Schizosaccharomyces pombe: one gene and its partner. Changing the gene in region 1 together with any one later gene gives a genetic interaction. Each region holds a gene or a part of one and is shown in the gene's direction. Other genes may lie near its edges. The genes, in order: cdc28 and cka1.

Evidence for each region.
Region 2: mutations in cdc28 (region 1) and cka1 impair growth when combined (synthetic growth defect), as found in Schizosaccharomyces pombe (one study listed by BioGRID).

What each region holds. Positions count from the first base shown.
Region 1 is NC_003423.3:1,668,358-1,674,497, forward strand, and holds cdc28 (ATP-dependent RNA helicase Cdc28), read left to right. Parts: upstream 1-2,067; 5' UTR 2,068-2,224; coding exon 2,225-5,392; 3' UTR 5,393-5,468; downstream 5,469-6,140. Other genes in the region: ath1 (ataxin-2-like protein), read left to right, coding at 1-1,077; SPOM_SPBC21B10.02 (uncharacterized protein), read right to left, coding at 1,362-1,787; pmt1 (DNA methyltransferase), read left to right, coding at 5,709-5,876, 5,921-6,140. UniProt on the Schizosaccharomyces pombe protein: Involved in pre-mRNA splicing. Is required together with ATP and at least one other factor, for the first cleavage-ligation reaction.
Region 2 is NC_003424.3:2,150,029-2,154,728, forward strand, and holds cka1 (serine/threonine protein kinase Cka1), read left to right. Parts: upstream 1-2,008; 5' UTR 2,009-2,125; coding exon 2,126-2,171; exon of another isoform or gene 2,172-2,231; coding exon 2,232-2,512; exon of another isoform or gene 2,513-2,515; intron 2,516-2,670; coding exon 2,671-2,983; intron 2,984-3,044; coding exon 3,045-3,346; intron 3,347-3,439; coding exon 3,440-3,496; 3' UTR 3,497-4,195; downstream 4,196-4,700. Other genes in the region: alanine--tRNA (Ala) ligase Ala1, read left to right, coding at 1-53; 3'-5'-RNA exonuclease Mpn1, read left to right, coding at 596-716, 756-854, 902-1,100, 1,152-1,314, 1,358-1,573. UniProt on the Schizosaccharomyces pombe protein: Catalytic subunit of a constitutively active serine/threonine-protein kinase complex that phosphorylates a large number of substrates containing acidic residues C-terminal to the phosphorylated serine or threonine.

The sequences.
Region 1 (6,140 bases):
AAGCCGAATGTAGCTGCTCCTGTGTTTACACCTGGTAAATTTACTATCCCCAGTAAACCCGCACCTGTTAATGCTTCACGTCCGATGATGCCTCAGCAGTCCAACAACAGTGAAGCTTCGATTCCTTCAACCACACCACAATCACCTTCAGTGGTTTCCAATGGTGAAAACAAACCTTCTTCCTCTCCTGTTTTCTTCAACGGTCCTGTTTCATCGGAGAAGGAACCCATCTTAGATAACTTTAATGTTTTTAAAAACGTTGGAGAAGAACACCAAGGAGCGGAGCAGATTGATAAGCCTTTTTCATGTCCCCCGACTTGGAACACGGGACCCAACTCCCTACAGCAAACCATTGCAAATTCAAGACCTGAAGGAAATTCTGGTTCTGCAAAGAAGGCAGCAGCTGCGAATCCCATGATTCCTAGTATTGTTTTACCCAATAGTGCTATGCCTTCTGCAATGCCAATGTATCCTACTCCTACAATGCCATATATACCAGTGGGATATCCTGTGCCGGGCTATACTCCTTACATGAGAAACCCTAGTCAGCATACCTCTGTAGCTCCTTCACCTAACGGAACACCGACTTCTGGAAATTCTAGCACAGTAGGTTCGCCAATGATAGGCTACATGGCTCCCCAATTCATTCCGCCTTACGCAATGCCACAGTTTCCTCCTTCTGGTAACGGTAGGGGCGCTTCAGCTCCTGCAACTTATTTTGTTCCCCAAATGGGAGGCATGATGGCATACACAATGAATGGCGTTCCTCCTATGTATGGCCAGTATGCTCCTAATAATGGCATGATGAATATGCATTATCCTATGTATGGTGATTCAAGAAGGAGCAATTCTCAACGATCTTTCAATTCATCTAACGGGAAGCGATCGAATGTACATAAGAATAACAACGCTTCTAACACCTTCTCTCATTCTAATGCCTCTACTTCCTCGTCTCTTAATGCTGCTCCTAATACAACTGCAAAGTCTTCATCTCAAACGGCGCCTCCCGTTTCTAAAGGTGATGCTACAGAGAAAACAGAGAAAGATGCATCAGCTAACCAAGAAGCGAAGCCTTAATTTGTTTATATTTAAGGTTGACTTGAAGACCATGTAATATCTAAATCGCAAATCTTGTATGGATGTATGAATATTCTATGAGATGAAATGAAGGCGGTAAGAATCATGATTTTGTGAGTTGGTTTAGTTGGTTGTTTCAATTCAAGTGCTGAACTTACATTTGAGAAGTTACAACTTATTCTTTTTCGATTACATTAACCTATGATAATAAAACTTACGACTTAAAGAAACATTTATTGAATGCGGATTGTTAGTCTTCTGCTATAAAAAAAAACATTAGCCAGTTAAGTATATATGCCTACCGTAGCAACTCCAAACCACTTATTGTCATTCAAATGGGCAAGTACATAATATACAGTTTTAGTAGATGATTCTTCATAAGAAAAGTAATGGATGTCCTTTGACCCACTTGATTGCTCAATTGCATGAATTACTTTTTTGTACTTCTGATGGGGATCAAAGGTCTTTGCATCAATCTCTTCAAATTCGTCAGGGATATTGTCAATGCATATTGGGTGAAATTTTTCATCTGATTCACTGACAAAGTATTCATCCTTAACTTTCCCAGCTAAAGTTTTAAATGAGGGATCCTCCAACATATTCTTTGAGCTTCTCAGCCATTTTGAAGGAAGTTGGGAAGAGTCGCCCGAATAAGAAGGAACAGGTTTGTTAGCTGTTTCCAGAAATGCTGCATAAGCTTCGTCTGACATTTTGTGAGAAGAACGAACAAGTGTAGGCAAAGCCGTGTGTCGTACAACGAATCGAGGCAAATGCCTATTGATAAACAATCTTCTAACTGTGAATCCTATTTTGTATAATTATTTAATATATAATTAAAAAACAAAAATATGTTAAAGAATAAGTGTTAATCAACTTTAGGTCAACGTCAGCGAAACCAATCTTCGAGCAAATATAACGAAAAACACGTTATGTAAATTACCGTAACTCAAAGAATCCAATATATACTAAACGATGCATAATGTGTAGTTTACAACTGTTTTAAACTTATGTATCGCAACGCGTTTAGCAAATTTAACTGAAAATTAACTATCTTCCAAATGAAGATTTTATGAAAATTTTGAAAGGGTTTATATTCAAAAATAGCTTCATTGCTTTTTGGTGATATTATTCTGGTTGCGCCTACAAAATGTCTTTAGAGCAATATGTGTCTGACAAAGCGATTTCGCTACTGGGAATGTCGGAACCTTCCGTGGTAGAATACCTAATTGCAGAAGCGAAGGGCTCTTCAAGTTCTAATAACCTGTATCAGAAACTCGTCAGTTTTGGTATGGATGGTGATGATCCTGCGGTTAAAGAATTTGCTCATACGCTTTATGCTAGAATACCCAGAGAAGGCTCAAGACCGAAAGAAAACTACAATGCAAGAAAGAAAAAAGAACAGGGGATTTTACAAATGGAGCGTTTGAATTCAAGTTATGATTTGTTGATAGAACCTCAATCTCATGAGACGCCTGGGAAGCCTTTGAAGAAAAAAAGCCGTTCTAAAACTCCTAAGCGAGAAATAGCCAGGAGACAACGAGATGAGGATGAGTGGGAGAGTGACGAGTATGAGGAGGTAGTGGATGGAAGTGCTAGTCATCCTATAGAAGAAGATTCAGTTTCTACCGATTTTCAAAATCATGATTATGAAAAAAGCTCAGATCCTGAGACAGAAAGACTCAATGATTTACGTGAAAGAGAAGAATTTGAAGAGCGTCTTAGACGTAAAGACCTTGAAGCCGCAACAAATGAATTTGTGGAGGATTATTCATCCAAATTTTCTTCGGAAGAGCTAGCTCTTAGAAAACTAGCAGATGATCCTGAATCATGGAGAAAACTTGCTTCTGAACTTCGAAAAAAATCGCGGCAACAATATCTTAAACCTAGGGCTCAGCAACAGTTGGAAATCCTTCGCAGAGAAATTCGAGATGAGGAGCAACTTTTTGCAGGCGAGAAGTTGACGCAAGCAGAAATTAGAGAGCTTGAAAAGAAAAAAGAACTACTTCGAATTGCTGAAGAACGTCAGAGATTGGAAAAACAAGCCACTGAATATCAAATGCCTGAAGACTATTTTACAGAGCAAGGAAAATTGGACAGAAAACGAAAAGAGGAGGTCTTATATCAAAGGTATAAGGATAGTAATGAAGGTGAGCAAAACGAGGTTACGATGGGAGCTGCCGAACAACAGCGGTGGGAGGCTCAACAAATAAATAAAGCATTACTTTTTGATCAAAACGAATGGCTTCCTCCAGGAGAGAAGCAATTTGATTTCGTATTTGACGAATCGCAACAGATTGATTTTTTACTCGATACTAAGCTTTCTGCGGAGAATCCTGTTGACACTGACAAGATGACTGATGTTAAAGTTGAAAAATCATTAGAAAGTTCTCGCAAAAGTTTACCTGTTTATCAATACAAGGACGATCTTTTGAAGGCAATAAATGAGTACCAAGTGTTGCTTATTGTGGCTGAGACCGGATCTGGTAAAACAACTCAACTTCCTCAATTTCTGCACGAAGCTGGTTATACTAAAGGAAATAAGAAAATTTGCTGCACCCAACCAAGAAGAGTTGCTGCAATGTCTGTTGCTGCTAGGGTTGCCAAGGAAATGGATGTACGGCTTGGACAGGAAGTTGGGTACAGCATTCGTTTTGAAAATGCTACTTCTGAAAAAACTGTCATAAAATACTTGACTGATGGCATGCTTCTCAGAGAATTTTTAACAGAACCTGACCTGGCAAGCTATTCTGTCATTATTATAGATGAAGCCCATGAAAGAACGCTTCATACAGACATTTTATTTGGACTTGTAAAGGATATTGCTAGATTTCGTCCAGATTTAAAGGTTCTAATTTCGAGTGCTACTATAGATGCCGAAAAATTTTCGGCTTACTTTGATGAAGCTCCAGTGTTCTATGTTCCTGGCAGAAGATATCCAGTCGATATTTATTACACCCCGCAACCTGAAGCAAATTATATACAAGCGGCTATTACAACCATTCTTCAAATACATACTACCCAGCCTGCTGGTGATATTTTAGTTTTTTTAACGGGCCAAGATGAAATTGAATTAATGTCCGAAAACATGCAAGAACTTTGTCGGATACTAGGAAAAAGAATTCCGGAAATAATTTTATGTCCGATTTATGCCAATCTGCCTTCTGAATTGCAAGCTAAAATTTTTGATCCTACACCCCCTGGTGCCCGCAAAGTTGTATTAGCAACCAATATTGCTGAAACTTCTATAACAATTGACGGAGTGAATTTTGTGATTGATTCTGGATTTGTCAAACAAAACATGTATAATCCAAGGACTGGTATGGAAAGCTTAGTATCTGTGCCTTGCTCCCGTGCTTCTGCTGATCAGCGTGCCGGCCGTGCTGGTCGAGTAGGACCTGGAAAGTGCTTCCGTTTATATACGCGTCGGACATATAACAATGAACTGGATATGGTAACATCTCCTGAAATTCAAAGAACAAATTTGACAAATATTGTTCTCTTGCTTAAATCCCTAGGAATTAATAATCTTTTAGATTTCGACTTCATGGATGCTCCACCACCTGAAACGTTGATGCGTTCATTAGAGTTATTGTATGCGCTTGGTGCCTTAAACAATAGAGGAGAATTGACTAAGCTCGGCAGGCAGATGGCAGAGTTTCCTACAGATCCTATGCTTTCTAAATCTTTGATTGCATCTTCAAAGTATGGATGTGTTGAAGAAGTGTTATCAATTGTTTCTATGTTAGGGGAGGCTTCCTCTTTATTCTATAGACCAAAAGACAAAATAATGGAAGCGGATAAAGCTAGAGCGAACTTTACCCAACCTGGTGGTGATCATTTAACTCTTCTTCATATTTGGAATGAATGGGTAGATACTGACTTTTCGTACAATTGGGCCCGTGAAAACTTTTTACAGTATAAGAGTTTATGTCGAGCTCGAGATGTTCGTGATCAACTTGCCAATCTCTGTGAACGGGTGGAAATTGAATTGGTAACTAATTCTTCAGAGTCCCTTGATCCTATTAAGAAAGCTATCACAGCTGGTTATTTTTCTAATGCTGCACGCTTGGATCGTAGTGGGGATTCTTATCGCACTGTTAAAAGTAATCAAACCGTTTATATTCACCCTAGTTCTTCTGTAGCTGAGAAAAAGCCAAAAGTCATCATTTACTTTGAATTGGTTTTGACAACTAAGGAGTATTGCAGACAAATTACTGAAATACAACCCGAGTGGCTCTTGGAAATAAGCCCCCATTATTTCAAGCCAGAAAATATAGAAGAATTGCAAAAGACGCAAAAACGACATAAGCGGTAAAAGAGTGGAAAAGGAAAATTAGTTTTAAAGGCGATTTGGTTGTATATAATCATAATGAATTTATGTTTCACAATAATGGACAAACTTTTAAAAGATCTCATTTAGTTAGCTTCAAAAAGACGTACAGTTTTGTTTAAGTCATCATGTTGTATATTAATTACTTTTAATACTAAAAAACATTTTATCGTTTTTGAAAAGGCCCGAAATGCTCATGACTTTTCAAGCTTAACAAATCCAAGCAAAAAATCTAATGCAGGTAGGTCTTTTGTAACCCTCACTAAACGATTACCGAGTGTTGCATGCTCGGTTACATTCAATGCTTAGTACAAAAAGATTACGGGTCCTGGAGCTATATTCTGGTATTGGAGGTATGCACTATGCATTGAACCTGGCAAATATACCGGCTGATATTGTGTGTGCAATAGATATCAACCCACAGGCAAATGAAATTTATAACCTCAATCATGGAAAACTTGCTAAACACGTATGTTTCAAGGATTTACTCGATAACTATATTAATACTTATAGATGGATATTTCAACTTTAACGGCCAAGGATTTTGATGCATTTGACTGTAAATTATGGACTATGAGTCCCAGTTGTCAACCTTTTACTAGAATAGGAAACCGTAAAGATATTCTTGATCCTCGTTCCCAAGCATTTCTAAATATTTTAAATGTGCTTCCTCATGTAAATAATTTGCCTGAGTACATTCTAATTGAGAATGTTCAGGGTTTTGAGGAGAGCA
Region 2 (4,700 bases), on another chromosome or scaffold:
ACGTTGCAGTGGAGGAAGCGATTGAGTTTTTTCAAGGGAAGTTGACGATTTAAGTTTCTACGTTATTTTGTACTCTATCTTTCATTATCTTCTACATAGGCTCAACTTTTTGTTTGTTTTATAGTCCGAGCATTTTAAAATTGCTCAACAATTTCAATCATTATACATAAACTCATCGTAGGCTTAAACGTCGAGTGTTTACTCAATGAACACTTCTTAATTTTAAGCGATAGTTTGAAAATTACAATTTCCCAGCCGCGTGTTATTGTATTATTAAGATTATGTGTAAAGCCTGAAGATCACGATTTCCTATTATTTACTGCTAGTCTGTCACGCTAATACAGCATACTTATATGTACAAGTCTGAACAAACCTACCACTGACTTCAAGAGTGAAAGGATAGGTTTATTGCAGTTCATATGAAATCGGGATTCTAAGCAAAAGCTTATGTCTATTCGAATACATACTAATAACCAAACTATTACAAAAATTTTTGCATGAATATCTATTACTATTACAGGCCATTTCTACACCATTCCTTGAGAAAAGAAAGTAGCCATCTTTATTATATTAATAAAAAAAAATAGAAGAATAAATGTCTTTAGTATGTTATGAGAGTTCGAGCTCCGGAGAAGACGATGACGAGACAATATCTGATAATCCCCGAATGTTAAAAGTCCCTAAGCTCCAAGAATCATTTCACGAACTTTATAAGAGTAAGAAGGTTTTAATGTTTTGATAACTCATATTCTTAGAAAAGCCAAAAACTTTTGATAGTCCTGAGTTTCATGAGGGTCGAATTCGTGGACAAAAGCATATTGAAGGATTGTGGTTTGTTCAAACATATTTGGAGGGTAATAAATCAATTTTTATTTAACAAAAAGTTGACAATTATCAATAGTGGATTTGAGCAAGAAAGTTAAAAAAGGCATTCGTGAGTTTTTGAATTCACAAAGTCGGTTTCAATCGCTTCTTTGCTCTGAGCATAATGTACCAAGAAGATTACATTTAAGCATATCTGAAAACTACCGCATAAATTATTCCACTAAGAACCAATTAGTGCACAAATGGGAACAATATACAAACAATTTGAATTACAGGTATACTCAGGACAAATAATCCATACTGTTGAGACTGACATATTAAAAAAGAACTTTAAAATTTCGACTGGGAAAGATGTGTCTACTATTTAATGACGAAAAAACAAGAATGTTCCTAGCTTTCGAATGTAAATTCAGTGACGAAAACTACAAAGACTTAATAAGTCATGCTAGTGACTGTATGAAAGAGTTTACAAATAGGAATTTGAGAGAGGTAAGTAAAGGTTCAAATAAGCGACAATTTTAACGCCTTCCAGGACTTTTTACTTCACATATCCTTTGCTTCATCGTTGACAAATGAAGACGAATATCAAAATTGGGTCAGTCAAGACAGAGAGTCCCATTTTTTTAAAACGATGAATGAAATTATTAATACAAAGATTCAAAAAGATCAATTTTCTGAAAGTTTTATCGTTGATAGCTTAAAGTTGTCAATTGGACATCTAATATTTACCTTTCCATTTTGTAAATAATTTATTAATTGGGGCGATAATAATATTATTACAATACTCGTTTACGAAAGAATATGCTCAGCTTCAAATCAATTGGTCTTAGGAACACAAAAAGTGATCATTAGCAATTGCATTCAGTTTTGTTACAAAGCATGCGGACTAAAACGTATGAAGGAAGAATAATTTCAAAAAAATTCCTTATTAGAAGCTTTAGTATACTCATTTTCGTCTTCTGTGATCGGATTTTGATTGCAACGTTTATCAGTTTTTTGTTACATTTCTTCTCACTAGAAAACAATATCATAACTATATTTTCACTTGTTTGGTTTATAAACTTAAGCCATATAGCGCATTAACTTGTTTATATTGCTATATTGCTTGTAACGGAGCTTAAAACACTTTGTTAATTTTCACTAAGCACTCTCTTTGCACTTGCATACACAAGACCTGCCCTTCACCAGCTAGCTTGCTAAACAAATTTTTTGGGTTCCGTTTCATATAAAGGATTTTGCATTAACATAGAGGGAGCACTCTAAGAAAAAAAAACGTGAAAGCTGAAAGGTGCTACTTACAATGAACCAGACTGAAGCGGCTCCAGTCGTCTCAGTTTCCCGGGTTTGTACGTATTGTGAAGTTCAAATTTATAAAAAAAGGATAACAAATGACTAATTAGATTTAGATGCTCATGTTAATGAGGAGATGCCCCGTGAATACTGGGACTACGAGAACATGCAGGAGGTATTTGGATATCAGGACAATTATGAAATTATTCGGAAAGTAGGAAGAGGAAAATATAGTGAAGTTTTCGAAGGATTAAATGTCTTGAACAACAGCAAATGCATCATCAAAGTCCTAAAGCCTGTAAAGTACAAGAAAATCAAGCGTGAAATAAAGATTCTACAGAACTTGGCCGGAGGTCCTAACATTATCTCACTGCTTGACATTGTCCGCGATCCAGAGGTAAGAATAAAAAAAAAAAGCTTTTTGTATTGAATCGTCTTGAAACTTGAAGGAGAAGAAATTTTGTGCTTTTCCGTCTATTGAGTTTATACGACTCTGGCTTTTGAACGTTTGATATCCATCAAACTATTGTATTTGTCGATACTAATATTTTATAGAGTAAAACACCATCTTTAATTTTTGAATTTGTTGACAATATTGATTTCCGTACATTGTACCCTACTCTTTCTGATTATGATATTCGTTATTACTCTTACGAGTTGCTAAAAGCTTTGGATTTCTGTCATTCTCGTGGTATAATGCATCGTGACGTTAAGCCTCATAATGTTATGATCGATCACAAAAAAAGGAAGTTACGGCTAATTGATTGGGGTCTGGCCGAGTTTTATCATGCTGGCATGGAATACAATGTTCGTGTAGCCAGTAGATACTTTAAGGGTCCAGAACTGTTAGTAGATTTTCGAGAATATGGTAAGTTGCATCCACTTTTGTTAAATATATTTACGTTTCTTTTTTCCTAACCAAACTTTAGATTACTCCTTGGATATTTGGTCGTTTGGTGTCATGTTTGCTGCTTTGATATTTAAAAAAGATACTTTTTTCCGTGGGCGGGACAATTATGATCAGCTAGTTAAAATTGCCAAAGTTCTGGGAACTGATGAACTTTTCGCTTACGTACAAAAATACCAGATTGTGCTGGACCGACAATACGATAATATTCTTGGTCAGTATCCCAAGCGGGACTGGTATTCTTTTGTCAACCGTGACAACAGATCGCTTGCCAATGATGAAGCAATCGATCTGTTAAATCGTTTATTACGTTATGATCATCAAGTAAGTTACCGAACCTGAAGGTTTTTACAGGATCTTATACAATCACTTATTTTTTTAAGTGGTATATACTGTATAGTTACTAACTTAGCATAGGAGCGTTTAACTTGTCAAGAAGCTATGGCCCATCCGTACTTTCAAGTACTCAAATAAGAACTGAGGGAAGGGACTATAACTCAATTATCTCTACGGACAGCCTTTTCATTACTAGTTCCCTTCATTTTCATAAAAATGAACCAAATCCAATTCTAGTTTTAATTCTGGTTCATGTTTTATTATTCTTTTCTTATTATTAGACTTGAGTATTCCTCTTCATTTACGTCGGTGATAATTTAAGCTAATATTTCTTGCCCAAACGTTATCATCTCCCACACGATTCCTCGAAACGGTTCTTGCATAAGTACATCCTACTATAATATTGCTTTCACGTGGCGGAGCCTTCCCACTACTTTTTCCCCGTACCTACTCGTTAGACACTTGGTCTACATAGTGTCTGTGTCTATTGCTTTCCCTTACTCAAATTAGAGTTTTTTTTATTTTTAAATGCTATCGGGCTTACTAAACAGGTTCCAATTCTATAGTTTTCTTTAATACTTTAAACGAGTTTTTACCTCTTTAGGTACCTAACAGCTTTATTAATAGTAAGTAACTCTGCGTATTATGCATAATGAATGCAATCTAAAGAAGCGATGGAAATGAATATGCGATATTTCATGAATGAAAAGTAAAGCCTTAATTAGAGAGCAACCTTACAAAACCTCTTATTCTGTAGCGTTAATCTTGCGCAGCTGCTCATCCTGAACTTGTTGAAGTTCAATGCTCAAAACAATTGCCTTTTGTAAATTCATTTTACTGTATTTAACACATATTAGAATTCATCATATTAAAAAAAATGATAATGTCATAAACTAGGGATGAACTTACAGGAATTCGCATTTATTCAACACTGATTCCAAATGAAACAGTATTTGCTTTTGAACCTCAGTCAGCATGCCAAAATTTGCACCAAAATCTAATTCAAAAGAATGTGTTGTGATCTTTGAATTCGGAAAAAACAACTTTACTTATCTTACTTGGTAAAGTATATTGTTTAACCAGGCAAATTTGTTAAAAAAGGAGTAGTTTACCTCTCGCTTTATGCGTATTTATGGTAAAACAAGTATAAAACACTATAACGCGGTAGCTCAATCTCTCGCTTTTAGAAAATACTTTACGCTACGATCCAAATAAATGGGTTAACTTGTGTATCGTCTACCAAAACAACACCTAAAACAGCGTGTTTTATCATTGCATTGCAACTAAGGTGAGTTTCTTTCTTCCTCTCTTGCTTTTTCATCCTTGAATGTAAATAAAATTC